4 linked regions of the Caenorhabditis elegans genome follow. The protein of the gene in region 4 interacts with the protein of the main gene of each other region in a biochemical or structural test. Each region holds a gene or a part of one and is shown on either strand. Other genes may lie near its edges. The genes, in order: bub-1, polh-1, max-1 and gei-17.

Evidence for each region.
Region 1: of the proteins of gei-17 (region 4) and bub-1, one has a biochemical effect on the other in vitro, tested with the Caenorhabditis elegans proteins (one study listed by BioGRID).
Region 2: of the proteins of gei-17 (region 4) and polh-1, one has a biochemical effect on the other in vitro, tested with the Caenorhabditis elegans proteins (one study listed by BioGRID).
Region 3: of the proteins of gei-17 (region 4) and max-1, one has a biochemical effect on the other in vitro, tested with the Caenorhabditis elegans proteins (one study listed by BioGRID).

What each region holds. Positions count from the first base shown.
Region 1 is NC_003279.8:7,249,563-7,256,155, forward strand, and holds bub-1 (Mitotic checkpoint serine/threonine-protein kinase bub-1), read left to right. Parts: upstream 1-2,378; 5' UTR 2,379-2,384; coding exon 2,385-2,458; intron 2,459-2,503; coding exon 2,504-3,033; intron 3,034-3,076; coding exon 3,077-3,988; intron 3,989-4,032; coding exon 4,033-4,220; intron 4,221-4,265; coding exon 4,266-5,035; intron 5,036-5,079; coding exon 5,080-5,569; 3' UTR 5,570-5,661; downstream 5,662-6,593. Other genes in the region: Protein lin-61, read right to left, coding at 1-583, 634-730, 857-1,023, 1,072-1,254, 1,358-1,720; ztf-15 (C2H2-type domain-containing protein), read left to right, coding at 5,965-5,988, 6,033-6,146, 6,192-6,281, 6,330-6,416, 6,459-6,593. UniProt on the Caenorhabditis elegans protein: Serine/threonine-protein kinase essential for spindle-assembly checkpoint signaling. Plays a key role in the recruitment of the checkpoint proteins bub-3, mdf-1 and mdf-2 to unattached kinetochores. mdf-1 recruitment is independent of bub-1 kinase activity.
Region 2 is NC_003281.10:1,943,482-1,952,002, reverse strand, and holds polh-1 (DNA polymerase eta), read left to right. Parts: upstream 1-1,733; 5' UTR 1,734-1,745; coding exon 1,746-1,873; intron 1,874-1,924; coding exon 1,925-2,071; intron 2,072-2,119; coding exon 2,120-2,279; intron 2,280-2,569; coding exon 2,570-2,774; intron 2,775-2,857; coding exon 2,858-3,033; intron 3,034-3,947; coding exon 3,948-4,359; intron 4,360-5,503; coding exon 5,504-5,700; intron 5,701-5,757; coding exon 5,758-5,934; intron 5,935-6,730; coding exon 6,731-6,883; 3' UTR 6,884-6,945; downstream 6,946-8,521. Other genes in the region: F53A3.7 (DNL-type domain-containing protein), read right to left, coding at 1-90, 163-279, 333-476; rps-15A (Ribosomal Protein, Small subunit), read right to left, coding at 634-930, 1,232-1,327; F53A3.1 (MARVEL domain-containing protein), read left to right, coding at 8,479-8,521.
Region 3 is NC_003283.11:13,106,571-13,112,477, reverse strand, and holds the start of max-1 (PH domain-containing protein), read left to right. Parts: upstream 1-2,142; coding exon 2,143-2,244; intron 2,245-5,105; exon of another isoform or gene 5,106-5,377; intron 5,378-5,522; exon of another isoform or gene 5,523-5,670; intron 5,671-5,907.
Region 4 is NC_003279.8:9,101,221-9,110,290, reverse strand, and holds the start of gei-17 (E3 SUMO-protein ligase gei-17), read left to right. Parts: upstream 1-2,708; 5' UTR 2,709-2,751; coding exon 2,752-2,823; intron 2,824-2,948; coding exon 2,949-2,984; intron 2,985-3,066; coding exon 3,067-3,180; intron 3,181-3,259; coding exon 3,260-3,289; exon of another isoform or gene 3,290-3,303; intron 3,304-3,593; exon of another isoform or gene 3,594-3,691; intron 3,692-3,971; exon of another isoform or gene 3,972-4,184; intron 4,185-4,230; coding exon 4,231-4,596; intron 4,597-5,266; coding exon 5,267-5,392; intron 5,393-5,448; coding exon 5,449-5,543; intron 5,544-5,588; coding exon 5,589-5,685; intron 5,686-5,769; coding exon 5,770-6,242; intron 6,243-6,978; coding exon 6,979-7,292; intron 7,293-7,393; coding exon 7,394-7,650; intron 7,651-7,888; coding exon 7,889-8,026; intron 8,027-8,287; coding exon 8,288-8,453; intron 8,454-8,618; coding exon of another isoform or gene 8,619-8,761; exon of another isoform or gene 8,762-8,968; intron 8,969-9,057; coding exon 9,058-9,070. Other genes in the region: nduf-7 (putative NADH dehydrogenase [ubiquinone] iron-sulfur protein 7, mitochondrial), read left to right, coding at 181-380, 669-884, 1,776-1,853. UniProt on the Caenorhabditis elegans protein: Functions as an E3-type smo-1 ligase. Mediates smo-1 conjugation to air-2 in vitro and is required for proper chromosome alignment.

The sequences.
Region 1 (6,593 bases), 1.9 Mb from region 4:
CCACAATAAGATATCCTTCAGTTTTGCAAAATTTGAGAATCGAAGCGACGTGGAGGTTATTGAATTGCTGAGCCAAGGGGTCGATGAGCTCAAACTTTTGTCCAACCTTAACTTTTCTCCAAATCATGGGATCAATTGGATCTTTTGCTAATTGATCAAATGTGACGTCGTCTGAGTCATATCTTGGATTTTCTCCATTTTTTATTGCTTGAGCAATTTTATTTGTGTGCTCAATATATTCCTTTTTCGCATTTAGTTGATATCCATTGACTGCTGCAAATCCAACAGGAAATATGAAGAAGCTTCCCTCGTCTATCCAATATTGAGATCCAGAGCTAAAGACTTGTCTGTCGTCATCTGCATCTGGAAGCGATTCGGGAAAGTCTTTCTTTGTGATAGATACATTCATTCGTCGTCCACATATTTCTTGAATTCGCGCTACGCGTATTTCAGTAGAATTGGAATAATTTAATAGTTCAAGACGTTGTCCAACTTTGAAACGATGCTTGCTTAGGAGAGCCTTCCCTTCATCGAATTTTGGAGACAGCGAAGTTTGGCCGACGATTTCGCCATCAATGCAATTCTGAAGTTGTGAGATGATATTAACATAAATTCGGAAAAAAACAAACTTACATTTACATAATTTACCATATCATTTTGGTATTCTTCGTTGATTGCAAGCGGCGGAGCATATACAATTTTATCCATATTGGGATCACTCATTGCGGCGCTGAAATGTTCAAATTTTACTATTATACAAATGTTTCGAAGTTTTAATACGATTGTTCTCTAGAATTTTATGTAACAGAACCATTATTTATTTAGAATAGTAGAAAGAGCTGAGCGTCCAACTTACTTTGCCAAACCAAACATATCGTCCGATAAAATATTGAGCCAAAATTTCGTGTCAGCTCCGATAAACTGAGCCAGAACTCTGTATCCGCAAACTTTTTCAATTCGTGCAAACCATCTGACTTGAATCGAATCGCAGTTCTTGTCATAATCATGGACCACTGTTTCGAACTACAAAAATTGTATTTTAAAACCGATTTACGAACAATATGAACTCACGATAACTCCTTCCTTCACGCATTCGTTAAAATTAACTGTAAGGTTACGATTGAATGCTTCAACTGGAATGAAAGAAGTTTTTCCTTTCTCGAACTGATGTAAATAGGATTCCCACAAGTAGGTCTTATCGAGTTTTCTGTCCGATTTTTTGTTAGCTCTGACAATTTTCAGAAATTCAGACATCTGAAATTAAGACTGGTTTAAAACGTAATTAGAGAGAATGTTTATTGAAATTGAAAGTTAGTTCGATTTGATTTGATATTTCTCAGGCGTTCGTCAAATTCACAGTGTACTCAATATACTCCAACCCATTGGATCCACTGGTGCTACTCAACCCGTGCCTATACTCGCGAAAATTTCCATTTTTCGTGCAATTGTGCAGAAACCACCCATAAGGCTCGAGCTTTCCAAATTCAAATCCATGATGGCCGTCCTGATAGAAAAATATTTTCTTTCGAGCAAACATAGTCATACGTCCAGTGATGTCTTCATCGCGATCCCAAAAAGTATTGCCATCGTCTTCCCAATGCGACACTGTTAATTGGAACACTTCATCAAAATCACACTTAACTTCGACGCCAAACAGAAATCTTGTCGAACTGACTGTATTGTAGAACAACGCGAAGCACAAAATGACTAATTTTAGCATTTTGATGTTCGGGAACTAACTTTTCGGACGAACAAAAACACTCTTAACTATCTGGTGACAAATTAGACTACTGGGCCACGCTAACTTCAATTATTTCGAAACATTTTGCTTTAAAAAAAAAAGAAACAAAACAGGAAAATGGAGAAAATGTTTGAAAAATAATAAAAAAGAAATGAGAGACTCAATGCAGATCCGTCGATTTCGAAACTAGTGACGAACGGACTACGAAAAAATGGGCGGGCTTTTTGTGTTATTAAAAGTGTAACATTTCAAATTAAATTCCAATTGCATACAAACACTTTTTAAAAAATTGTTTTTTTATAATTTCAAATAGCTTTAAAATCAATTTTCAGTTATAGCAATAAAGCACCGCCCAATTTTCAGTAGTGCGCAATTCTCCAGATTCAAAAGAACGTAGCCATGAGAGTGACGTCACTGAACTACAGCGAAAAACGCGCTCTATCGAGCAGGCCCGCGAAGACTCGCTTTTCAAAAAAGACGCGCGCGTTTATATCCATTTCTTGTTTTCGAAGGTCCTAAAATTTAGAGGAGAAAGAGGGATTTCACGTCTCCAATGAACTCCGTAATTTTCGTGAACCGATGATTTTTTTATTCGCGTCCTTTCTACTTTGAAAACTTGTTATTCAGATTATTTCAGAAAGTTATGTCCCACATTAGAGTGGCATTCGCTCCACTCGACACCAATCCGTCGACATGTGGTCTTGAGACGTTCGCAACGTAAGTTTCCGTATATCTTGTATTTTAAATAGTCACCACTTTCAGGCAAATCGAAACGTTGTCTCAAATGATGACCGCGGAGGAAATGAAGGCGGAATTATACGACTGCGTTAGGAGAATTTTGCGGGAGCAAAAGTTTGATCAAATTCGTGAAAACGAAGCGATGCTCCGTCTCTACAAAGTTATGGGTCGATCTAGTACAAACCTGAAGGGAAGAGGCATTTATGAACAACTTTTCAAAAAGGATCATTTCACTGGTTCGCTGAAGTTCTATCTGCAATGGGCAGAAGAATGTGGAAAAGATCAAATGCTGGAGGAATTCAAAGATGTCCTGAAGTTGGCACGAGATCGTCTTTCCGAAAGAATAGAAATGACAGCAATTGAATCGGGATTTCGCGATTTGGTCGATGAATACTTCAATGGAGAATCTGGAGATATGTTCACACGACCGGATGAGACTATGGATCTTTTCAGATTCAATGCGGGTTCTAAGAAAAAGCGTCGCTCTTCGGTTTGCTTTTTGCAACACAATGTGCCTATAAATAACTCGGGAAAAGCTGCATTTGGACCAAAAAGTAAGTTTGAAAAAAAGTTATTATTCTCATTGGAAACTTACAGCCAAAACGGATCTTCGCCAGGCGTGTATCGACAGGCCAAACTATCATGGAATATCGATTGAGGAGTTTCGTTTTGCCAAATGGAAGGACACTTTCGGAGAAGATGTTGATGACGATTACCGAAAACGAAAAGACTCTGGTGTCGTTTTCGTGAAACATCAAGTCATTGATACCGACAGACAAGCCCGCGAAGAAGTTGAAAACCGATTCAACGCCAATCTAAATCCTAGAAGACGTCATCTTTCACCAGTCAGTGAGAAAACGGTTGATGATGAGGAGGAAAAGCGAAGCCGGATTTATTCGCCGCTGGTTGCAACGAAGGATGCTCACAGACCTGCACTTCGGAGCAAAATTGAGAATCCTCCAGCGACAGTGACACTTTCGTCGGATACAAAGTCTGCTTCGGAGAAAGATGTTAGTGATTCCGATGATGCAGATGATGATGAAAGACTCAAGATTATGACTGCCGGCAGAAAAGATGGTAACCCTCCAGACCGTTCCACAAGCATATCTTCCAACTATTCAACTGCTTCTGCAAGAACATCAAAGAGTGGAGCTGGATTGGATTTGATGGCGGAAAATAAGTGTTTGGAGGCACATGCTATGTTTTCCGACACTGTACATCTTGCTAGCGAAAAGACAATGGTCCTTGGCGATGATTCTGTCTTCGTTCCAGAAAGATCTTTAGCTACTACGCAGATAGTTACTGACTTTTCCGTGCTCTGTGATCCTGATCCGACAATGACCATTACACAGGAGCGTCCGAAAAAAGTGTCGAATGGGTTGAATGTTGTTTACGATGAGGCAGCCGAACCGGAAGAATCTCAGAAAGTTGAGGAATCTGAAGTACAACCCGAAATTGTCCTAGTTTCTCCAGTGACGCAAACCTCACCAGCTACAATGTTTAATGATAGTGGGTTTATCGAAAAATATAACAACTTATGTTTTAATTTTTAGTTTATGACGATGAAATCGAGTTTGGCTTTTTCAAACCGTCTCGTGGTAATTTCGTCACATCGACCCCCGCACAAGGAGTTCATTTGGTCAACATTGATGAATATTTCGGAAATAAAGAGGAGGAAAGCACTCACGAACAGGAAGCTCCAGTATTTGTTGCTCCAACCAGCAGTACTTTCAGTAAATTAGTAAGTGCCAGACAAATTTTCGACATACTATTCAAACTTTTTCAGACACGTCGAAAGTCACTAGCAGCAAATCAAGCCGTTCAGCCCTCAGTCACAGAGTCATCAAAGCCTGAACGATCAGATCCTAAAGATTCATCTATCGATTGTTTGACAGCTAATCTAGGAAGACGTCTTTCAATTGGTGCTGATGAAATTCCAAATCTCACTGAAAACAACGAATCTGAAATCACTGGTTGCAAGATTCGTCGGCGCAGTGAAATTATCAAGCAAGGAGACATCAATCCATGGGACGAAACTCTTCGAAAAAAATTGATGTGTCTTGTGCGTCCTCCCCAGAATATGCACGAGTTCCAAGAACGAGCACCGAAGATTCAAGCTCTGAGAGACTGCGAGGTTAGCGGAGAAAAGCTCCACATTCAAACTCTTATTGGTCAAGGTGGATACGCTAAAGTATACCGGGCTGTAACCGATGATCAAAGGACAGTAGCTGTGAAGTACGAGGTGCCATCATGTTCGTGGGAAGTGTACATTTGCGACCAAATGCGGAATCGCCTGAAAGATCGAGGTTTGGAGCTGATGGCCAAATGTTGCATTATGGAAGTGATGGATGCTTATGTTTATTCAACTGCTTCGCTTCTTGTTAATCAGTACCACGAATATGGAACGCTGCTTGAATATGCGAATAACATGAAGGATCCGAATTGGCACATAACCTGCTTCTTGATTACCCAAATGGCCCGAGTTGTGAAGGAAGTCCATGCCTCTAAAATTATTCATGGAGATATCAAACCGGATAATTTTATGATCACCAGAAAGTATGGGAAAACATTTGTTAATTTTAGACGTTATCTTTTTTCAGGATCGATGATAAATGGGGCAAAGATGCTCTGATGAGTAACGACAGCTTTGTCATCAAGATTATCGACTGGGGACGTGCCATTGACATGATGCCACTGAAGAACCAGCGTTTCAAGGGAAGAGCAGGAACAGAAGCGTTTGATTGCCCGGAAATGGTTGACGGTCGTTCTTGGACTTACCAAGCCGATTACTTCGGATTCGCCGCAACAATGGCTGTCGTTGTTGCAGGAAAGTATGCACAGTTGACTGGAGCTAGCGTTGGAGACTATTCGTTAAATGTCGACATCAAGAGGCGCAACATTCTTCGCGATGCTTGCTACGATGTCATTAACAGATTCCTCAACATCCCTTCGTGTGATTCACTTCCGGACTGGAATATCCTGATCAAGTCTTTCTCGGAAATCTGGAATGAAAAGTTTGAAGCATCGGGATGGCGACAGGCGGTTTCCAAGTTCAATGAGGCCTGTGATCTTGCCGCCAACCAAAAGTAGCCCAACACAATGAATTTGTATTTCGTGCTCTTATTGCTCTCTTTTATTGTCTTTTGTATTGATATCATGTGAATAAACTCGTTCGGAGCTTTAATAATTGTGCATCTAATTTATTTCTGGTAAAACAAATTGAATTAAACGAAGTTTTCAGTTTTTGAAAGCTTTCCAAATTTGAACGTGATATTCGAGATTGGGCGCGGCGAGACCCATCACGGTAGAAATTTGATGCGCCTTTAAAGGGAAGTATTGCAATAGATCACAGTTAGATCTAAATAGTTGCACATTCGTTTTGTTTCATCAACTGTTTTCTTCGCGTTTTGCATAAAATGTGATATTTAAAAAAGAATTTAGAAAAAATTACAATTAAAATATTTTCCAGCCATCCTCTTGTAAAAATGGAAGAATCAGATCAGACTGTGGTGAGCGCTAGTGTTTAATCAACTTATTTTGCAAAAAGTTTCAGCTTTTACCAAATGTCGAAAATGAAATTGGCAGTTTTTATCATGACATGCCTGATGAAAAATTGCTTCGTCATATCAAAGCAATTTTCGACGAAGCTTCACTTCGACCATCTTTGGTATTTAATCTTCATTGAAACCTCAACATAAAGTTAGAGTTGTAGACTAAAAACGTGCCATCCACATCTTCACAAGTCACAGAGGAATTGAATAAAGTTGAAATCAGAGATCCAAAGCATGAAATGCAAGATGAGGTTGAAATATAAATTTGGTAAAAATGCTGTATAATTTTCGAATTCCAGCAATATCTTTCAATATTCGAAAATCCGTCCGGAGTTCAGTACAACCAAGCTGATGGCTCATTTTCGTGGAATAATCGCTTCCATAGTGTAAAAACCAACTGTAATTCATTTTCTAATGAACATTTTCAGGACAACAGCGTCCAATACATAAACGTGTTGAACAACTATGGTTGTGAAGGTGCTGATACACTATTAAATCAGTCAGACAGTAGCGATGAAACCGATGAAAGTATCGAAGAAAGACGGACCCCACGAGGAAACCGG
Region 2 (8,521 bases), on a different chromosome or scaffold from region 4:
AATTTCAAAAATTCCATTCTCGTTCTTTATCGTGTCACGACGTTTCACGGCTTCTCCTCGCGTTTTCAGATGATCCTCGATGTTTTTTCCCTGGAAAAAATTGGATTTACGCTAAACAACACGCGTCAACGATGCTCCGTTTTCAAGAGCAAAAATGCTCACTTTAAAGTCCTCGAACCATCCGATATTGTCAGCGATGATGTGATGGTTGTGACAGCCGGAGCACGTGACAATGACAACTCCCTTCTCGTATGATGACTTGGCAAATGTTTTTGGGCCCTTGAAATTATTAGGAATTTCAAATCCAGTTTTCTAGCTTTCTTGGCTCAAACCTCCCGGGAGTTGCACACTTTGCAGGTGTATGACAGGGACAACTGGGGCTCTTGCTTCCCCAGTGGAGTGGCTGAAAGTCTGGGAACTGTCTCGGAGAAGCTTCTCGATGCTCTATAGAGAGCTGAAACTGCTGAGCGGAGCATTCTGAAAAATTCGTGGTCCCCGAAAACGAAACCCAAAGGTTTTAAAAGATATTTAGAAACCCTGAAAAGTTGGATGCCGAACTGAACACACGACTCGGTTGTAGTTGTAACAACAATTTATTTGTAATAATAACAAACAAAAAATTAGGGTTTGGATTTAGAAGAAGAATCCGAGAATCTTTCCTCCCAAATGCTTTCTTCTGGCCTCCTCGTGATCCATGATTCCGGCGGAGGTGGTAAGGATGAGATATCCGAACTGACGGGATGGGAGGAGGGTGTTGGTGTACTTCTCCAAATCGTTTAGACGGATGTTGAGACGTGGGGAGATGACGGAGGCCTTGTTGAGACGTCCGGTGAGGTTGACGACGATCTTTCCGGCGCGGTGGTCGTCGACGATCTCGAACTCTCCGATGTATCCGTGCTTCATCATGACGGTCAAGAAGCGGACGATGACCTGGAAAATTATTGTTGCGATGGGAAGGGACAGGTGGAAAACTAGAAATACGGAAAGTAGATGTTAAGCTGGTTACCTTCAACATTCATATCCCAGGAAGATCTCCAGATTGAGAGAATCTAACCAAGGGTGTCTCCGTTTAATTAGAACCGAAAGTTATGTTTGGAAATAAAACCGAGTTTCTTTCACTAAATTCTAAATTCACGGAGAGCCTTGGTCATTTTTTGCGACCGAGGCTGCCAGCATCATCATCTATTAACAAAAATGCATTGAGAATTCTCGAAGAACGACGCGAATTTACCTTGGAGGCTGGACGGATGAGAACCTGACGCTTTCCGCGCTTCTCGGCGTTGTTGATGGCGTTGAGCGCATCGGCGAGGACGTTCATGCGAACCATGTCTGCTTGTTTTTACCTGAAAATTCGGGAATTCATTTTTACAAAAATTATGAGAACGCGAAGCAAAACAGACACATTTCGATGAATATTTGTAGGTATTTCGCATCAAAACTACTGGAAAATGCTTAAAACCACAAAAAATGGAGAAAATCACCTAAAAATCACGGAAATTCGAGAAAAGTATGTGAAAAACTTCGTTGGCCTACGCCTTTCCACCGCCTATGCATTAACGTTGAATACTCAGCCAAGCAGCCAAATCGTCTTAGTGGAGCGCGATTGCAGTGCACTTTAGGCGGGGTTTCAAACATTGATTTTGGTTTTTTTTTGTTTTAAAAATTCGTTTTTTCGCAATTTCCGGCTTTTTTTCTTTTTTTTTTCAACTTTTCATAGTTTTTGAATATTTTCAGACACATAAAACATGAAAAGAGTGATCAGCCTCATCGATATGGACTGTTTCTACGCACAAGTCGAACAACGGGACAATCCATCGCTTTGGGGACAGCCGGTGATCGTCGTGCAGCACTCCAGGCAGGGTATCGAGGGTGGGTAAGCTGAATTTTAATCTGAAATTCTCCAAAAAAAGCCCGAAATTTCCAGAATTTTGGCTGTAAGCTATGAAGCCCGCCCGTTCGGAGTGAAACGAGGGATGACGGTGGCCGAAGCGAAGTTAAAATGCCCTCAAATATCAATATGTCACGTTCCGATTGGAGAATATGTAGATAAAGCTGATATTCAGAAATATCGGTTGGAATTCTTATATTGAAAAAGTCCCAAAAATTGCTATTTTTTCAGCGACGCTAGCGCAGAAGTCTTCCGGGTGCTGAACAATTACGACTCGCAAATTATAATCGAAAAAGCGTCTGTCGATGAGGCTTTTCTTGATTTATCCGCGTATACTAATCAAAAATTGCAAGAATTGAGAGAAAACGAGGGATTGGAGGAGTTTTTGCAGGTAAATCTAGCTTGAAAAGTTGAAAAATGAGAAAAATCCCCCCTATTTCAGCATCTTTTTGCAGAATTAGCAGTTTTTTCAAGAAAAAAAACGCGAAAAACCTGATTTTCCGCTAAATTCAATTAATAAAATTCAAGAATTTCAAATTACCTCTAAAAAACGTGCCAACCGCGACGCGACCGCTCGCGCCGGGCGGCACTAGGTCCACAGGTTTTTTGCCGTTTGTTAATGAATTTTCAAGCAAAATCCATGATTTTTTCGCTAAAAATTGCCTAATTTTCGCATTTCAGGCTGCTATTACCTACCTCCCAACCACACACCTCGCTACCGGAGAAGATGTGAAAGAAAATGAGCACCTACGAGAAGATGTGCTGCTGGAATATATTGAAAATGCGAGAAATTGCACGGAAAACCTGCTTTTACTGATTGCCGCGGTCACTGTAGAGCAAATTCGGCAACAAATTCACGAGGAAACCCAGTTTTTTTGCTCGGCGGGTATGGATTTTGCCGGAAAATCCAGAAAAATTCATTTTTTGGGGGGAAAAATTCGCCCAAAAATCGCAATTTTCCATTTTCAGGCGTCGGAAACAACAAAATGATGGCGAAATTGGTGTGCGCCCGGCATAAACCACGCCAACAAACGTTAATTCCGTGGTTCTATGTTCGAGAAATTCTCCGGCTTACGCCAATCGGAGATGTTCGAGGATTTGGCGGAAAAATGGGAAATCGCATTCAAGAAATGCTTAATATCACTGTACGGAAGCGAAAATATTCAAAATTCCAAGTTATTTTCAGAATTTTCATCGAAAAATTATCTGAAATGTCTGAAATCTGCAATTTTAGGCGTTTTTATACAATTTTTAAATATTTTTCATTGAACCTAGAAATTTGGAAATACTCAAAAAAAAATCAATTTTTTCTGGCAAAAAAAAAAGAAATTTTGAGATTTTCTCAGCTGAAAATGTGTGAAAAATTCGATTTTTGACGGTAAAAAGTCAACATGGTCGTGAAAAAATGCAGGAAAATTGAGAAAATCAAAAATTTCTGCTAGAAAAACCAAAAAAAGCTTTCTTTTTTGAGAAAAATGAATAAAAATGATTCCTAGCGATTTTACTGTATCTACTAAAAATCAATATTTCCCCTGTGACTTGTGCGTTTCTCAGATTTTGGCATAAAAACTGCATTTATTCACATTTTCAGCCTTAAATTGGCTTAAAATGTGAATAAATACCGTATTTCTGCCAACAATTTGACAACAGAGCACATTTGTCACTCGGAGATGCGGAAGCTATGCCCAAATTTTCAATTTTTCCCGAAAAACTTGTGATTTTCACAGATTTTCAGTCGAAAATTCGAGTTCCCCGTCACTTTTTACCCCCGTAACCCGGTTTTCAGCAAATTTAGACTAACTGTCGTAAAATTCGGTGCCAAATACGCAAGACTCGGTGTTTGCGTACTTTTGGGGCTACCGTACCCCTCGAAATTCAAATGTTGAACTAGCAAGCTGGAAAAACTTGATTTTAGGGTAAAATGAGGTGGGGATTTCAAAAATCGAACTGAAAATTCGATATTTTCAGTGAAAACTCAAATTTTTACAAATTCTGCGGGTTACGGTAGCTCTGAAAGTACGCAAACACTGAAAAAATCTAGAAAATTTTTTTTTTCCAGTTAATGGGTGAACTGCTCGAAGTGGACATTTCACAGCTCATTGAAACATTTCCGAATCAACACGAATACCTGAGGTCCGTGGCCGAGGGACACTGCGATGAACCAGTTCGGCCACGCAAGGAATCCTCTTCCATCGCTGTCTCCAAGAACTTCCCCGGAAAATTATCGATTCGATCGGTGTTGGAGCTGAAAAAATGGCTCGACGGGCTCACGAAAGAGCTCGCAAAGCGTTTGGCAACGGATCAAGCGGAAAATAAGCGAACTGCCGAGAATCTGGTGTACTCACTGCTCACAGAGGACGGGAAACCACAAAAAACGCTGAAAATCACCAGTTATCACCCGGATACACTTTTTGAGCAGATTTGGGCAGCTATGAAGGGATTAAATAAGACAAATGCCACTAAAAATGAGGGTAATAATAAAAAAAAATTAATTTTTATAGCTGGAAATTTGAAAAAAGTACGCAAAAATTAGAAAAAAAGCGGCAAAAACACTTTTTTAACAGTTTTTTCAGTAAAAAAAAATTTGTGGCCTAGTTTTTAGGATTTCTAGGCCACCTGTTGGAAAATGCCGGTTTTTAGATTTTTGGATTAAATATTTGAAATTTAAACGATTTCGACTGAAAAACAACGCATAAAACCGCAAATCTGATACAATAATTGAGTATTTGCCCTAAAAATACGATTTCCCGTGGCTTTTCACTGAAAGCTGACAAAAATTTGAATTTTCCCCAGGAAAATTCCAAAAATCACCAAAAGTCGATATTTCTGTGACAAATGTGCTCTATTATCAAATTGTTGGCAGAAACACTGTATTTATTCACATTTTCAACCCTAAATTGGCTGAAAATGTGAATAAATACCGTATTTCTGCCAACAATTTGACAATAGAGCACATTTGTCACTCGGAGATGCGTAAGCTATGCCCAAATTTTCATTTTTTCGGAAAACTTCAGATTTTTCACTAATTTTTTTCAATTTTCAGTCTGTTTTGAAGCTTTTCAGTGAAAAAATCGAATTTCCCGTTAGTTTCTAAGTCTAAAACTCGGAATTTGAGTTTTCCGGGGTACTGTAGCGCCAAAAGTACGCAAACACCAAATTTCTCACGGCAAAATGCAGAATTGTCTGAAAAATCGCGAAAATTGTCTATCAAGGGGTAATAATAGGCTGTGAATTCAAATTTTGCTCGAAAAATTTATAAAAACTTGAAGTTTAACAAGAAAATGCCAATTTTTTAGAAAAAATTTTGAAAACCCATTTTTTTTTCCAAATTTCTTAAATTTCCTCAATTTCTAAGTATCAAATTCGAATTCTCCACTGATTTTCAACCCTAAAAACTATTCTTCTGGGTTTCTAGCTCCAAATTTTAAATTCGCAGGGTACGGTAGCTCCAAAAGTACGCAAACACCGCGGAGCTTACGAAAAAATGCACAATTTTCAAAAAACTTGAGAAAAGCATCGCGATAGGGGTAATAAGTACTCCGGAATCCGAATTTCCTAATGAAAATTTATAAAATTGAGAGGTTTTCTAGATTTTTTCAAAATTTTCATTGTCAGACTCCGGTCCCTGGACACCGCCAATTCTCAACATTTCACTATCAGCGACACGTTTTCAACCCGGAATTCCTGCACAAAATCGATCGATTCACGAATGGCTTTACGAGAAAAAAACGCGAAAATCGCGTCGAAAAGCGGCGATTTACGATGAAAATGATGGTCGAGAAGATGTGATTTTTGTTGAACCGCCGGAAAAAGTACCGGAAAATGATCAAAAATCCGAGTTTTTAGTGAAAAAATCGAATTTTTTTCAGCTGAAAAAGCCGAATCCAACACCAAAATCCACTGGAACAGACGGAGATTTCATTGTTTTAGGCTCAGATTCGGATGATGACGTTGTACAGCCAAAAACTGATGATAATTGGATTTTTGTCGATGGAAAGAAATTTTCAAAAATGGCCTGGAGGCACCTACCGCCTGACATTAAAAAGGTGCCTGAAAACTCGGAAAAATCCGGAAAAAATCCGAATTTTAGACGGAAAAATGCGAAAATCGGGCCATTTTTATGTGAATTTTGAGCAAAAAAAATCGATTTTTTGAGATTTTACTGTTAAAAAATGTTTTAAACTCAAATTTCGCCAAAAATTTGTCAAAAAATGAATTTTACTCTGAAAACTTGGGATTTTTAATTAAAAAATAGAGTTTTCAATGAAAATATCGAATTTTCAGTTCGATTTTCGCAATCCCCACACAATTTTACCCCAAAATCAGGTTCTCCTGGCTTTCTAGCTCGAAATTCGAATTTCCCGGGGTACTGTAGTCCCAAAAGTACGCAAACACCGGAGGCCTTACGACAAAATGCACAGTTTTCTGAAATTTTGCGAAAATATGTAAAATAGGAGTAAAAATGGCTTCTGAGTTCGATTTTCGTGATGAAAATGCTTAAAAACCAACTTTTTGAGCAATAATTTTAGAAACTACAATTTTTACCATATTTTCGGAATTTTTCTCAATTTCTAACTATCAAATTCGAATTCTCCGCCATTTTTCACTTCTGAAACCCGTTTTCCTGGCTTTCTAGCTTGAAATTTGAATTTCCCGGGGTACTGTAGCGCCAAAAGTACGCAAACACCGAGCATCCGACGACAAATTGCACAGTTTTCTGAAATTTTGTGAAAATATGCAAATTAGGGGTAAAATGGTGCTCTGAATTCGAATATAGCAGTGAAAAACTAGTGAAAATGCCTGATTTTCGAGTTTTCCTATAAAAAACTTGTAATTTTTCAGCATTACCAACATCGAATAGCGTTGGAAGAAGCTCGAGCGCTGAAATCGAAGACTGGTGGCTCACGGAAAAGAGCCGGAGCTCACACGGACAATGCTCAAAAACCGAAGAAGCCGAAATCGCTGGAATCGTTTTTCAAAAAGAAGAAACCCTAACAATTACTTCTGTACAATTTTGACACGCATTTTTCTAGCTAAAAAATATGAATTTTTCACTGAAAATTTGTTTTTTTTTTCCCGTAGATTTCCACAAATTATTCTCAAAAATCTTGATTCTTATCAACGTTTTCACGCATTTTCAATGCAAAATTTGAACTCAGAGCCTATTATTACCCCCCGGAAAGTCAATTTGTGGGATTTTTCAGACATTTCTGCATTTTGTCGTGAGGTGCTCGGTGTTTGCGTACTTTTGGAGCTACCGTACCCCGGGAAATTCAAATTTCGAGCTAGAAACTCAGAAAAGTAGTTTTTAGGGCTAAACATCAGTGGAGAAATCGAATTTGATACTTAGAAATTGAGGAAAATTACAAAAATTGACATTTTAAAAACTTTTGCTTAAAAAGTCGCATTTTCTAGTTTAACTTCCAGTTTTTATGGATTTTTAATGCAAAATTTGAACTCAGAAGCTATATTTACCCCTATATAGACGATTTTCGCAATTTTTCAGATATTTCTGCATTTCGTCGAGAGGCACTCGGTGTTTGCGTACTTCTGGAGCTACCGTACCCCGCGAATTTAAATTTTTGAGCTAGAAGTTTAGAAAAGTAGTTTTTAGGGGTGAAAATTATCAAAGAATTCGAGTTTCTCAAAGTTTTTGCTTGAAAGGTCGAATTTTCTAGTTTAACTCCTAGTTTTTATGGATTTTTAATGCAAAATTTGAACTCAGAAGCCATTTCTGCCCCTATATGGACGGTTTTCGCTGTTTTTCAGATAATTCTGCATTTTGTCGTGAGAAATTCGGTCTTTGCGTACTTTTGGCGCTACCGTACCACTGGGCCCTCAAAATTTGAGCTAGATGTCCAGGGAAAAGAGTTACAGGGGTAAAAATAAGCGTAGATTCAGATTTTTGAAATGGAATTTTAGGAAAAATCAATGTTTCATTGATTTTTTGAAATTTTCTCGAAATTTAATTTAAAAAAATTTTTTTTTTCAAAATAAACCTTTCTTCGATTTTCTCAGATTTTTAGCTAATTCTAGAAAATATAAAAATATAAAAAATCAATTTTTACGGCATTTGGTGTTTGCGTACTCCCGAAGCTGCAGTAACCCAAAAAAATTCAATTTGTTTTAATTTTCAAGCTAGATGAGTGGGGAAAACAGCTTAAAGGAGTGAAATTAACAGAAAACAAAATTATAAGCGATAAAAAATTTAGAAAGTATTTTTTCAAAAAAAAATTCCAAAAAAAAAAAAATTTTTTTTTTAATTTTCCAAAATATTTTTTCAAATTTTTTTGTTCAAAAGTGTTCCCAGCACCAAATTTTGTGTAGTTTTCAATGATCCCTACTAAATCACCTCTACTCGCCGGCCTGCGTCTCTCCGAATTAGCCCACACTCTCGCACCACACACACACACACATCACAACGTGAAGAGCCCCCGCAGGAGTAGGACCACCACACACGGCTGTCATTTCCCCACGCCAACAATCAGAAAAGAAATCGAATAACAACACAACTTTTCGTCTCTATTTCTACTTATTTTCTGCTATTTTCACCATTTTCCCCGGTTTTTCACCGAAAAAATCCGAGTAAAATGACGAAGCCGGTGGGCTGGTGTGCCACGTGGCTTCCCATGA
Region 3 (5,907 bases), on a different chromosome or scaffold from region 4:
ATCAAAAAATTGAGTACATACATAATGTAGTGCAACTTCAACAGTGACATCAATTTCAAATCGATCACAGAATTCTAGCATAGTTTAAAAACCGGTGCCTCGAAGTAACCGGTGCATCGAAGAATATGCAAATCAACGTTTCGGCAGCTGATGTTTATGATAAAACTGTTATTCCTGCACACAGTGTCGACAAAATATAGTCATCATTTTGTAGTCAATTTCTTCCTACAATATATATCTAGAGAATTTCAAACTTGAGCAAATTTTTCTAGACAAGAAAACGGACTTTTTTGTGTACCCACTCCTATTTTTTTAATGAAAAAAAACTGAAAAAACTGAAAAAACTATAAAACCTAAAATTAGACTAATTTCCTATAAATAGTACTCGAAGACTAGGAATATTGTTAATACAACTCCATTTCTCATCAAATGACACTTATCCATCTCCTATCGGTCATTTTTCTTTGGTTCGTTCTAAAACCTTCCGGTGGTCTCTTCCAACCTTCTTCTCGTTAATGATCTTCTTCTTGTTTCCGTTGCCTCAAAGCTCCAGAACTGCCCTCTTCAATGCCTTTTCTCCATCTTTTTTCCCTTTACTTCGTCTTCTTCCATTGCCTCTCCCGGCTTCACAAAATTAATTTCTTGCGCTCATCGTCCTCTTCCCACCGCCCGTCTTCGTCCTTCCGTCTGACGTCCCGTCTTTGGAAGACTCGTCAAACTGGTAGCAAAGAGCTCATGAGCTCTCCATCCGTTTCTCATTTTACTTTGTGATAGAAGAGGGGCGTGGGTACACCAAAAAAAGATGTGTTTTTGAATCATGTTGCGAAATTTGTTCGTTATCTGATTACGGCTGCAAGAGGAAGAAAACCAACATCGAAAGGCCGTGAGGTCCAATGGGTCTTTTTGTTGACGAGAGGATTCCTCTGTTTTCTTTTTTGGTATAGATTTCTTACCTAGATGAACAATTTACGTCCTACTGTATTTGTAATAGAAAATATAACATGGATTTCTATGTTTTTTTAAGTTTGAAAAATCATAAAATAAGTAACCAAAAGTGTATTTGAGACTTCAAGCATAGTCTGCTCAAGCTGTTATTTGAATCTCTTAAAGTCTTAAATTCAGAAAGAGATATCAAAGTTAGGGGAAAATAAATTTGAATTTGAATTATTCCAAATTTAGATATTTTTAAATGTTTTTATTCTCGTTCAATTTAATGTGCATTCAATTTGTATTGCCGTAAATATTGTAAGGATGAGCCAGCCATCCATATTTTCGAAAAAAGTGGGATCTTTGTTTAATTGCCAATTGGTCTGGGTATAAAAAAGCGTTATATGTGGTTTTTTGTTCAGAATTTCATAAAAATAATATGGGTAAAACTTTCCAAAAATTCAAACCATAGGTATGACCAAGGAAAGTGTAGGCACGTAGGCGTAGGTCTCCTTGTGGGTATCGTAAATTGAAAATATAAAGAATAGGTAGATTATTTTTTTTGAAAAAAAACGCTTTGAATTTTTCCAAATTGAGAACTATCCAACTTTTTAAATATTCCCAAAATCTCAAGTATAAACAATCTTCCTCAAAACTTTCTTATCGTCATTCATCTGAAATCTCGAGTGATGGAACATTGTGCAATAGATTTGTTGAGGAGATACATACAAGAAGACACAAATTATGCAAGTGGTTTGTGTTGTAGAAAGAGACGAATTGAAGAAAATGGGGAGCATGAGAGGGAAAGAGAGGCCCCCGGATTGCACCACCAGACCTCCCAAAATCGCGCAATTTGATGCTAATACATAGCTTTTGAAAATTGGTGGTGGGGGCGGAGGACATTGGTCAAGAGATGGACATCGTATTTTATTACCACAACTATTCACAACTCATTCTTTCTTTTCATTTTACTTTATTTTTTCTTATACTTTTTACAAGAAAAAATGACAAAGAAATTCGAACTGACATAAGAGAGTCATCATTTTTGACAACTCTTTTTTCTTCTATTTCCGTTATTTTTTTCTAAATCGGCTTCTTCATCTCTCTTGAACAATTATTTCGCTGCTCTTTTCTCGGTCTCTCCCCCACTAAAAACTCTATTTTGTTTATTTCGTCTCACTCTTTTTTTTGTTAAAATTATGATTTTTTGAAGGAATGAGCGACTCAAGCGCATCCCCATTACGCTCACCAGAGGATGAGGAGCTACTCGCAAAATCATCGAGAATACGATTATGGGTTACAAAGAGAATGAAAGAGGTGAGTGATTGTTTGGTAGGGAAAATGTATGTTAATCTGATTATAAAGTTGAAAAAAAAAGGAAAATCGAGTGACTACCAACGTTCAGTTCAATCTCTATTTTTTCAAGATAAACTTCTCATGAGGACTTGTTTCTATCCTTAGAAAATCGTTTCAAAAATGTGTTATATTTGTTAACAAATTTTTGGATATTTGCCGTTTCATTTTTGATAAAAATCGATCTTGAAGTAATTAAAAATTGAGCCCAACACGGTTTTTTTTATTTTCGTCCCTATAACTCTCTGTTTATTTATGATCTTTTGCTCTCTTTCAGCACTTAAAGGGTTACTCCACCTCTGCAAATTGCGGTAAAACGTGTTTTTGATAATTTGACGACAGATTTTCTACATGAAATAAATTACAAAATTATTGTGATTTCAAACTCTGAAAACCACGCCTTCTAGAGTTCAAAAAAGGACATACTGCCTACTAGTGTTTAGGTCAGACAATAATAAAATTTCATTAAAAAATTAGTGAATAGTACAGCCACTCTAAAACTTTTGAGACTTAGAAATATGGTATAGCATTCCTTTCAATTCGATTTTTATAGTTTCCAAAATCATTAAAAAATATAACATTGATACCTAAATATCATTGAATACTTACTTCTCATTGTTACATTTGTTTTTTAGAATGGGAAAGGTACAAAAACAGGGATGTGCAGTGGTCAACAAGTAGTCATATTAAATGAACAATATTAGTCCTTATTAGTTATTCCGTGTGTATGCCAACTCATTTTGTGTTCTCTCCTCTCCTCTTCTACACCTATTCAAATGATAATCTATATACGTGTGTTCGCCCTGTTCATTTAACATTCGGAAACATTTTCCTGGTAGTTGTGCTTTTAGTTTAGTTTTTAAAAAAATGTTAAGAAAAATTTTGAATTTCCGGATTAGCCCAGCATATTTTGCGTCCTAGAAAAAACAGAAAACGCGGGAAGTGTAGCTAACCTTTCTAAAAATGGGATTTTACAGACCTGATAACTTACGATAGACTTTAAAACTTTCTAACAACTTCAAAACGACTGAGATGCCAAATATAGAATTAAACTTTTGTTAGAAAACTATCTTTATTATTTTCAAATCTAGTATACATCCTAACCATGTGTTCCCTTTTTCATTCAATCTGTTTTTTTCTTCAAACAATACTTGCTCCCACCAAATCTGCACTAACGACATAACACATTTTGAGTCCAAAAATTATGAGCATGAGCACAAACATTGTAGATGCCAACATGTTGGTTCCCCCAAGATATCAGGTTACCTTCCTGACAACATTTCTTGACGTCTCCCTTCCGACATCGTTTTCTTCTTGTTCTTCTTCATCCGGTGGTCCAACCCAGTCTGAATACCTTTTTTCTTCTACAAATTCTTACTTTTCTGGGTAGTTGACTCCGAGAGTTTGGAAGAAGACAAAGCTTTGAAATTTGCATAATGAATGAGTGACGGCTGGTTGATTTTTGAGTTTAGAACGAAGAATAGAGCACTCTGAACCTCTGACTGAATTCCCTTGAGTTTGAGTTTTCGAACGGGAAGAAGCCCATTTGTTAACTGCGTTGAGTCTTTCTACTTTTAAGAATTTCTGCTTTCAAATGGAGTAGATATTCTGAGAATATTGAACAATTTTAGAGAACAGAATTTTGAGAATAGTTACTATTTTCAGAAACTGCTTAATATTTATTTTAGATAATTTTGTTTAAAAAGGATCTATCCATTTTGCTTTCTCAGTTTCAAGAATTTACCTGCTAATTTAGTTTTTCACATTCAAATTTTTGGCGCCTTGATACCACCCACAAAGTATCATTGTTCGTTGTGAAATGTCCTCCAAAAACCTACACTCTGATTCCACATTAATCTTCATTGACACCTTGTTCCATGATCACTAATGAATATTTCGTACTACACAATTTTCTATTCATCCACTAATTCCTTGGATCCGCTTTTGCTGCTACTCGGAGATGATTACGGTTATTAAATGAGAAGCTAAACAGTTGTAAATGATGGAAGAAACTGGTTTAGTCCAGTACTAGTACATCTTTAACTCACTCGTATAGTTGTTTCTCTTCATTCTCACTCGTTTGTAATTCTGAATTTTCAATTTGGAAATTTATTTTTCTATGGTGGGTGAGGCATTTTGTGTGTGTTTGAATACAGGATGAGAAGTTCATTTTTCTGTTGTTTCACGTCATTTCAGAGTAAACGATTTGGTTTTATAGGTATTAAAAACACTTTTAACCAGACTTATTTCCAAATATGATAACATCTGTGCTGAAGCAGTTCAATATCCACACCTATTATTTATTGAAATTGAGAATAGCTGTCTTCTTCATAAACTTAACGATTTAAAAATTAAAGGAATAGTCGGAATTTTTTTTGAACAGTTTCAAATTTTATGACCTTCAGCAGAAATCAGTTCCATTTGTTTCAAAACTTTGAACTTGGTTTTCTATTGAAGTATTAAAGAATCTTGAGAGCTTTTACACGTGTTCAAATATTTTTTTTCAATGTTTTTCCTTTTCTCTCTCGCTTCGTTTTTTTGTTTGAAAAATCGTTTTTTAAAGTTGTTTCCAAAACCTTTAAATTTAAAAATTGACAAATTTCCGCAATTTATCATTTGGAACCAAACGGATCAGCAAAAAAAAATTTAGAACTACTATTCGAAATGCATGCATTTGTGTGCCAGGCTTCCCAAATTCACAAGTATACGCCACCACAAATCTCTCTTTTTTGGGCTTTTCCGTCCCGTTTTACGCTGTCCTATGGCATGTCAGTAAACCTCGGTAGTGCAGCTCGTTTTGGAAACTCTAGAAGACGTCGTATATACTCCTTCTCAACCACTTCAATCAAAAGTGTGTTCGTTTTCACTGTGAAATCATCTCAGATTTCTTTAAAATTTTCATCACTTTTTCCTCAATTTTCTTTACTTTCGTATTTTACTCCAATTTAATAGAATCTTCGAGTTGCGCAGCTCCAAGTACCCAACTTGCCCATAAAACTGTGAGTAGTGGAGTCTGAGAGCCTGGCACACATCTGCTGAACACCTTTTCACAAAATGGGAGAAAGTGTCTACAACAGGTGCTTTTTTTCACTCGGGTTCACTTTCATTTTCACCACTTTTCCATTTTATTTTTGAAACTGTACAGTAGGTGGGAATAAGGAAAAAAGAAAAAAAATTGGGAAAATTCCGTAGAAATTCGGATTTGTCTCCGCCTCATTAATCAAATTTTTGTTGCCGTTTCATTCGTCACAACGTCGAAAAACGACTTCAGATTTAGAAGGGTGTTCTTTCTCATTCTTCAAACGTGTTCCATTTGCAGTTGGCTTTTAGACCTATTTCACTTGAACATTTTTTTCAAAAAAATAGGGTAGAAGCTTTATGAAAAAGTTTTAATTCATATTTGTACATTTGATCAGAAATAAAATCAAGAACGCTGTTGTGATGTTGTAGAATCATTTTAAAAAATCTGAAATAACCCCGAAGTTGATAGTTTAAAAGATGAAGTACCAATGGGCTTAAAAATTAAATTTAAAACAATTTTAAAATGGTTTTTTGTGGTTTCCAGTCACAGTGAGATTCTTTTTGCAATTTCCGTAGATTTGAACCTTCACGATGTTCTAGATGAAA
Region 4 (9,070 bases):
TGGGAAAAAGTTTAATTTTTATTGTGTATTTCATAGTACACCAAGAAAAAATATTTTTTAAAAATGCGGGAAAACTAAAATTAATTAAATTTTTAGGAATCCCTCTTTCATCGGATCAAAATTCTTCTAAGCTCAGAATGTCTTTTATTTTATTTAATTGAAATCATTTTGTAATTTCAGGAACTCCATTCCTGAATCCATCGTCTAAAGCCGAGTACGCGTTGGCTCGTCTTGATGATGTCCTGAATTTGGCTCAAAGAGGTTCAATTTGGCCACTGACGTTCGGTCTCGCATGTTGTGCTGTCGAAATGATGCACTTCGCTGCGCCAAGATATGATATGGATCGGTACGGAGTCGTTTTCAGAGCCTCTCCCAGACAGGTTAGCTATACTGATCATTTTGAAATAAAAATTGTGTAAAATTAAATTTTTGAGTTGAAATTTTCCCATCAACAACAAAATGTAGTCTTAAAATTCATATTTTCCAAGTTCTAGAATTAATTTGGCAATTATTTCTCAAAACTCGCACCCCTAAATATCAACTCCATAGCATCATTCTCTGGTCAACAAGAAAAAAAATGATATCGTTGTCATGACAAAATTTAGTTTTCAGTCTCTCAGTGTATGCGTTTTCAAAATTTATTCTATCTATTTATCAAAATATTTCAGGCCGATTTGATTTTCGTTGCCGGTACAGTAACCAACAAAATGGCACCTGCACTTCGCCGCATATATGATCAAATGCCAGAAGCAAAATGGGTTATTTCAATGGGATCATGTGCAAACGGAGGAGGATATTATCATTACGCATATTCTGTACTTCGTGGATGTGATCGTGTGATTCCAGTGGACATTTATGTACCAGGATGCCCACCAACTGCTGAGGTATGTGTCGAATTTTTATGATCGCTTTTAAGTTTGCCTCATTTTCAAAAATACCTTGAGTTTTGAATCTTTTTTGGAGAGTCTAGAGTTTGTTTAGTGGCTGGCTTGATGTCAGTATTAGATCTCACGTTATCGTATCAGCACACCACAGCTAATTCATTTTCTCTCATTATCCATATTTATTTGGTCCACCTGTTACACAAAAAACGCACTCAAAATCTGACTGCTCAATTAAGGATAATGAGTGTCCAGATCTCGTGCAGGCTCATTTTCCATTAATTGAGTAACAATTTGTTTCAGTTAATGTCTGAAAATATTCCAAGAAAAGCGTGTTGCTATGTTCAAAAATGAATTTTAATAATTCTATGACGTCATAATATGTACCTCACTATAATCTCGACACCCCATCATTATCAAAACTGTTTTTTTCGGGTTTTTCCGAAAAAGATTTTTGAAAAAAATTTCCCAATTTAAGAATGGTGGGCTAAGGACGGCATGATGTAATCGCGCTCCACGACCGATTGTAAATATTTCGAAAATACGTGGGTGCATGTGTACTCAATTATTGATCGAATTGGCGCGAAAGTCTTGTGTTGTCTACGCTCTCTTGCATACCATTGAGTCTTTATTTCTCTATTTCTGCTTAGTTTCTCAAGCATTCACTAATGAATATTTTGCCGTATCTAATGCAACAACAACTTGGTGTTTTGTTTAAATCTTTAGCTCTTCGAAATACTTTATCACATTCTGACTGTATCAGCGAATTTCTAATACATTTTAAATTAGTGAAATTATCTGAATAGCTTTAAAAATATTCCTAGCCTGCAGTCTTTTCTGAAAATATGTTTCGTCTAATAAAGAAAATAATTTTAATATAAAAAATTATTCCAGGCTCTTCTATACGGAGTTCTCCAACTTCAAAAGAAGATCAAGCGTAAGCGAGAAGCTCAACTTTGGTACAGACGCTAAACAGAACACGAGGCGAAAAGAAAGTACGAGAAAGTTGGAGAACTGTGAAAAAATTCGCAGAAAAATGGTCATTTTGTACGAGTAAGCCCCACTTCATTCATTTTTTGTGTTTCTCCACCTTTTCTCCATTTTCTTTTTTCTAGATCTGATATCGATAGTTTCGTTCGTTTTTTTCTGCGGTTTACTTTTTTTTTCGAATAGTGTCTATTTTTACCTCATGTTTTTTTTGGTTGAAAAAAAGTCGATAACATTTTTTTAAAGTTCTATTTTTTTCTCTCATTTTCTTTGGAACGGTTAACAACGCCGACCCTTTGTGGTTCTCTTTTTATTTATTTATTCATATTTTCACAAAGTCTGTGAATTTTTATATAGTGATTTGAAAGGAGATCACGACGCACTTTATAGCGCCGCCAAGTTTTTTTTTTTGGATTTGGTTTTTGGATTGAAAATAATACAAAAAAAGTCTGTGTGGATTGAAAATTGTATTGCGCAAATTCAAAAACACAAATTTTCTGGCGCCTCTTCTGAAAATTGCTGATCCTTTGTCACGGGCACAAACCTATCGTACACATTGATCTCATTGATTTCCTGAATGAGTTAACGTGAGTACGTTGAAATATTTTTTGCAGGATTTTGCAAAACTGATTCATCAGGTGTGCCCGTGTTTTTTGCGCGATTTTGGTCCATTAACTTCCAAAATTGGGAAATCCACACGGAACCGCGCTTTTCGAAACGCTTTTTAGGGAATAGAAAAGATCACATTTTTCTACTTTTTGTTTGTGATATTTTCACTACTGGACCATTCAAATTCGCCTTAATATCCCTTTTCCGAATCTGCAGTTTTATATTTTTCCGTCGTTTCGAGACACAGCGGAGGATCGGAGGTATTGAAATCAATATGTTACCGAATAATCAATGGCAAATACCTATAAACAATGGATTAACACATCAGGAAAATATGGCAGCACACGTGAGTTATTGGAAAATTATTGACATTTATTAAATAGTTTAAAATTCTTGTATTTTACCCAAGGATTTTTCTGTTCCAATCTGTTATTTTTCAAAAAGTAAAACTGATGGATTCCAAATTTTCAGGCAGCCGTCATGAAATTGAGAGTACACGATCTTCAGGTTAGATACCGTTTTTAATCAATCTTTATTGTTCAATACCTCAACGAGAAGGCGATGTGAATCAAGAATTTATGAATTTCAGTCGATTATCTCGCAATTGTCACTTCGAAAGCCACGTCCACAAAAATCGGAGCATCAGAAGGTCGTCGTTGAATCCTTGCGTGATCCTCATCATGCTCGGCAAATTTATCAAATGGTCATTTGTTTTTCTCGTTATTTTATTTATGTTTTTTTTTAAATGATGTTTTACAGCATTAATTTTCTCGAGTTTACAGGCTTCCAATTTCCCGAACGGAAATTATGAGGTAAGTATGAAAAAGTTAAATACTTTCAGTTAAAAAAAAACTATGTCAACTTTGATTAAATAGATGTGTGAGGTACTTTGGGTAACGTTTACCAGTGTTCTACCTCGGAGGAAATTATTCATTCACCTAGTATTGTCTCTTTACTCACACAATAAGTCTCGCATTTATCTCCACTAGCATCCTCATACCCACCATATATGTAGCCCTTTGTTTCTCTAAGTTTCCTCAAATATTTCATCCATTCTGCACTTGCTTCCTCGCAGCTCCGGCAACGGGACTTTCGCCCGTAATAAGGTGTTAAAAACCTCAAAAGCAGTGGATCTTCGAAAATTTCTTAGTTGTACTTTGCCCTGACCTTCTTTCCATGTTTCATACGTGTAGCTTGGCGCGTAGTTTTTCATTACAATTTTTATTTTACTAGATTGATTCTTTTGAATACTGTCACACTTTTTTGAAAATCAAATTCAAATTTTCACTCCTAAAGAGGTATTTGAGTTTTTTAATAATTGTTTCACTTTGAAAAATCGATATGGAAGCGAATTGGCACGATGTCGCTCGTGAGAAACTGGGAATCGTTTTTTTTTTTGTTGTTATTTCACAACAGTTGATTCGAATGCGCGTAACTATTTAAATCAATCGAATTTTTAGTTGGCTTATTATTGAAATTTTACTAAATTTTAAGAAAGTCCTGTTATCAAAACTCCAAAAAAACGGCTAGGTTTATCAATATATATCATTTCTTCGCAAGCACCTCTCCTGATGACATGTGCGCTCTATTGAGAAACAAACGTTCAAAAAATCTCTTCCGCTTTGTTTTTTATTCCCAAATGTATTTTTGCAAATGTTCTAATTGTCTAAAATATTCCACATATTTAAAGTTAGAGCCTAAAAAATTGTTTGTAAATCGTTTCTGTTTTAATAACTAAATTAAAAAATGTCAGATGCAGAAGCGACCTGCAACAACATCCCAAGTTCGGTCTCATCCATATGTGCTGCCATCTCGATCTGGAGCTAGTAATCACTTGGTCAATCATCATTATCAGCAGCAACAACAACAACAACCACAGCCTCACAATCTACTTCATCAACAAATGATGGCGTCACATCATTCACATCTGCAACAGCAGCACCATCCGTCGACGGTGAGATGGCTAACTCCTGAACTGCTCGAAGAGCAACTGAGGGGCTCGATGAGATACGGCGCTCCCGCTGCTGCTGCTGCTACCAACGCGCCGCTCCATTCATCTTTTCCTAATCATGGACGTTCTTCTCAGCAAAGTTTGCAGAAGTCGGAAAAATCAAATAGGGTGAACATTTTCGCCGCATTTTTATTGCCTGAAATTCACGATAAGAATGAACGCAAGAATATCGAGGCGGAAAGCATGTGAAGATATACTTTCGGTTTATGACCGTAACGGAAAATTTACCTGAAAAAATTACACTGGTAGCTTCTTCTGGGCACATATATCATATTGGCCAGTCGCGGTTATTTGAAAATTCCTCAATCGTGATACATTATGCAAACAAATGTCCTACCGTTTATTGAATGCACTTTTTTGAATTGCGTGTAGCATTCAAAAAAAAGAAAGAAAAATTCGAAGCTCCAAGATTTGCACGCTGTTATCACGAAATTTTCTGCATGATTCCGAATGGCGTAAAAACTAGAACAAGTGTGGTTTTAAGATATTACAGTATGGCATTCTTAGGAGCATGTTCATGAAGAAAAGCTTAATATGATAATCCTCTCTAGGCATTTCTTCATATTGCCGTGCTCAATTTTCAAATAGTTTTATTTCCAATTAGTTCGTAGTAGCATGTAAAAGTGTTTTTTTACTACCAAAAAGCAGGCATCATTAGAAATTGCGCGGCATGTGTTATACAGTTCGCTCACACGAGTTCAATGTTATCACCTGAAAATTGCTTTCAGCGTCTCTTTCTTACATTCCCACATGTCTAACCCATGTATTTTTTTTTCAGCCGAAAAAAATGTATGCTGATAATTTTGAACCGCTTCCACTTCCATTCTACGATGTTATTTCTGTTTTGCTGAAGCCTGTCGAGCTGCATTCATCAGACAGTCCAACTTTGAAGCAAACAAAACAGGTTGGTCTCAATTTACTCGCTCTCCAAGCCGGTTACCTATTAATTACTAATTTCAGTTACAATTCCCGTTCTTATTGACTGCTGAGCACATCTCCAAGATTTCGTATCGAGCTGATGTTACACCTCTTCCACGATATGAATTGCAGTTGAGGTACGTTTTATTATCATTGAAATCGGTTTAAATCCTTGTTTTCAGGTTCTTCAATCTTACTGAACCAGTTCAGGGTCCTCAAAAAGACGACTTTCCACTCAATTGCTACGCACGTGTTGATGATTCTGTCGTTCAATTGCCGGTATGAGATTTGAAACGTTCACGAAATATATTTAATTTCAAAATATCAATTATTGTTAGGAGTTACTATTTCTTCAAATTTCAGAATGTAATCCCAACAAATAAGACAAATGCTGAGCCGAAACGACCATCTCGTCCAGTGAATATCACTTCAAACATGAATAGATACAAGAAAGAGCACACAGTTGCAGTCGAATGGTTAGCCGACAAACGTGTATGGGCAGCTGGAGTTTATTTCGTTCATCGTGTTAACTCGGATATTCTCTTTAAACGTCTTAATCAGAATGTATCAAGACATCGATCACTTGAGGTTACCAAGCAAGAAGTGATCAAGAAACTGTCTGGAGGTGAAGATGATATTGCTATGGATCGTCTTAATATCAGTCTTCTTGATCCACTGTGCAAGACAAGAATGACAACGCCTTCTAGATGCCAAGATTGTACCCATTTGCAATGTTTTGATCTCCTCTCATATTTGATGATGAACGAGAAGAAACCAACGTGGCAGTGCCCTGTTTGCTCGAGTAACTGCCCATATGATAGACTTATTGTTGATGAGTAAGTTTTCAATTCACACTGACTAACTTTGATTTTAAAAAAAAGCGAATTATCTCAATTCTATGTTTTCATTATTTTTCTATTAACTCTTAGATACCGTTCCCTCACTTCGAAATTTCCAATTCTTGTGAAGACACTATTATTTTTCCAAACACAATTGTTATCTATAGCGATGGACAACACCCTTAAAATAGCCATGATGAAACGGTGATTAGGAAATTCGGAAACGCGTCGTCTAAAATAGGCATGTATTTGCAAATATAGTCTACGATTATTATCAGTAGTTCGTATTGGTCTCCAACTCAAAATTCAGCTCATGACGTAAGAGAACATGAAACAAATGGCAAAGGTCAATCATCATAATTGAGCAAGAGTTTTAATGTGTAATTGAAAATTATTATTATTCAGAAATTCAAAATCCCTGTAAATAATTCTCAATCAATTAATAATCCAAATAGTGTTCTCACTCTTATGTTTACCATGATCCAGATTCATATTGTGAACAGTGCATCATGGACAAACAACAAATTCGATGGCTAACTTCATGCAGTTTTGTGTGAAGCTGTCTGTTCGCACTATTCGCTCGTTTTCTTAATTGGAAAATACTTTTTAGTCACGGAAATGCCTGAGAAACTGCTTAGACGTTACCCAATTCAACATTTTATTTAAGAAATATTCAAATATCAAAATAAAAAGCAATGTTCTGAGACTATGCAAATATTGTTTCATCTTTCAGTTATTTCCTCGATATGCTTGCAAAGGTGGATAAGAATACGACGGAAGTTGAACTTAAGGAAGATGGCTCGTACGATGTTATCAAGGAAGAAGCTTTTTGCATCTCAGATGATGACGACGATGACGTTGTACCTGCTACTGTTAACGGTACAGCGTCATGCTCTTCGACAAATGGCAATGGACTTGCAAATGAAGCAGCGAAGAAAAAACCAGCTGACGACGACATAATTACCTTGAGTGATGACGATGATGAGGAATTGAACAGAGGTATAATGAACTCTCTGAACGACAGCTTCTCTCCTGGCAGACACACAGGTTTGCTATTCAAATGGCGTGGTGTGAGACAAGCTGAGAATATTGCAGTTTCTAGCAATATCAATTAAAAGTATTCACTTGAAATTCAAATCTTATTTCAGCTTCCGCAGAATTGGCTGCTCAAAAGACACCACCACAGCAGAAAAAGAAGACGAAAGACGATGACATAGAGATTATTACTCTCGATGATACACCACCTCGTCCAGTAGCTGCAAGTGCAAATCTTCCAATGCGTCAGATGTCTCAACAGAATCAAATGCCAGTTGGCTCATCTCCATCTGGAATGGCCTCAACGCAAATGGGAATGAACGAGGGTGCAAGTAAAACTATCCGGGATGCGCTGAACAAAATAGGAGAAGTAAGTTCAGAAAAACACAAATCTTCAAAAGAGCCAATATTGTTAGTTATTTTCCATAGTTTTAAGAGGATTTGTTCTTAATTTGACTGAAATCAGTATTCTAGTTATAACTTATCCGTTTTTAACCAAAACTAATACAAAGATTGAATTATATATTTGATTATATTATTATATGATATTGTTAAACTAACATCTGCTTCTCCCTGTCCACACTCACTAAACTGTCTGTTTGTTGCAGCAGTCAGCAAATTCATCAACACAATCATCTCCGCTTGTTCAACTTCACCATACGACACATCCATTGAATTTTGCTCAATCATCTTATATGAATCCCTCTTCAGGATCTCAAACACCTACATCACAATACGGATATTCGGTATGCCAGCACGTGTTAATAGTCTACCACACGCACTAATACTCTAGTGATATTTTTTCATAACGACAGAACAAAAAAATCCTGTTTTAATCTCTTTTTTTTCTTTGTTCAAGCCCCTATTAATTGGATAAGATACTTAGATGATTGTCCACTGCACTAGAATTCTGTCGAATTGAAAAAAATGCACTAGTTTTACGTCTGGAATTATAAACTTAACAAATATTTTTCAAAATTTTTTAAAAATTGAACTCTCGTTTTCAGCCAATGATAAACCAGGCACCACACTTCCAAATGCAAAACGGGCTCATAGGGCGAAACAATCAAATGGTTCATATGCAGCAGCACCATCTTCAGCAGCAACAACAGCAGCAGCAGTCACCACAAATCATGTCTCCGTCTTTTTATGCTCAACAGCAAATGTCAAACGGTAATTTTTTGTACACCTTACAAAGTTTTTGTATATTATGTTTAAACATCAAAACAATCACTTCACGATCTTCAGTTAATAGCGAGTAAACTTGTTGTGTAATTGCAACCATCCTGCATGCAAATATATATTTATTTCCCTTACTTGGTTTGGCCTCACTTTCAGGTGACACCAATAACATCCAACCACCACGAATTCTTTCCATGGCTGAAATACAAGCAAATGCATCTCGACTTTTGGTAAATGGACACCTGATGATCGATCACTCAGGAGTCACTATGCGCAATCCACGTGGCTCACGGAATTAATGCATGAATTGTATTTTTTGTGCCGTCTAGTTCATTTGATTTATGTGCATCTTTTACCCATATCCACGATTTACAATTTTTAACAGAATCCTGCTTGTGCTTTAGTCTAGTAAGTTATATTTGTCTGCATTATACGGCTGATTCGATGAACTTTAACTAGAATTTTGTGACGGTAATGTTTTTGTTAAATGAAGCTGAGTATCCTGTATGCAATCTTTTAAATACAATTGAAAAACACAATCCACTAATTTTAGATTTTTATTTAAAAATTAGATTTTCAATATTCAAAGTTTCAGGTGGTGCATTTGC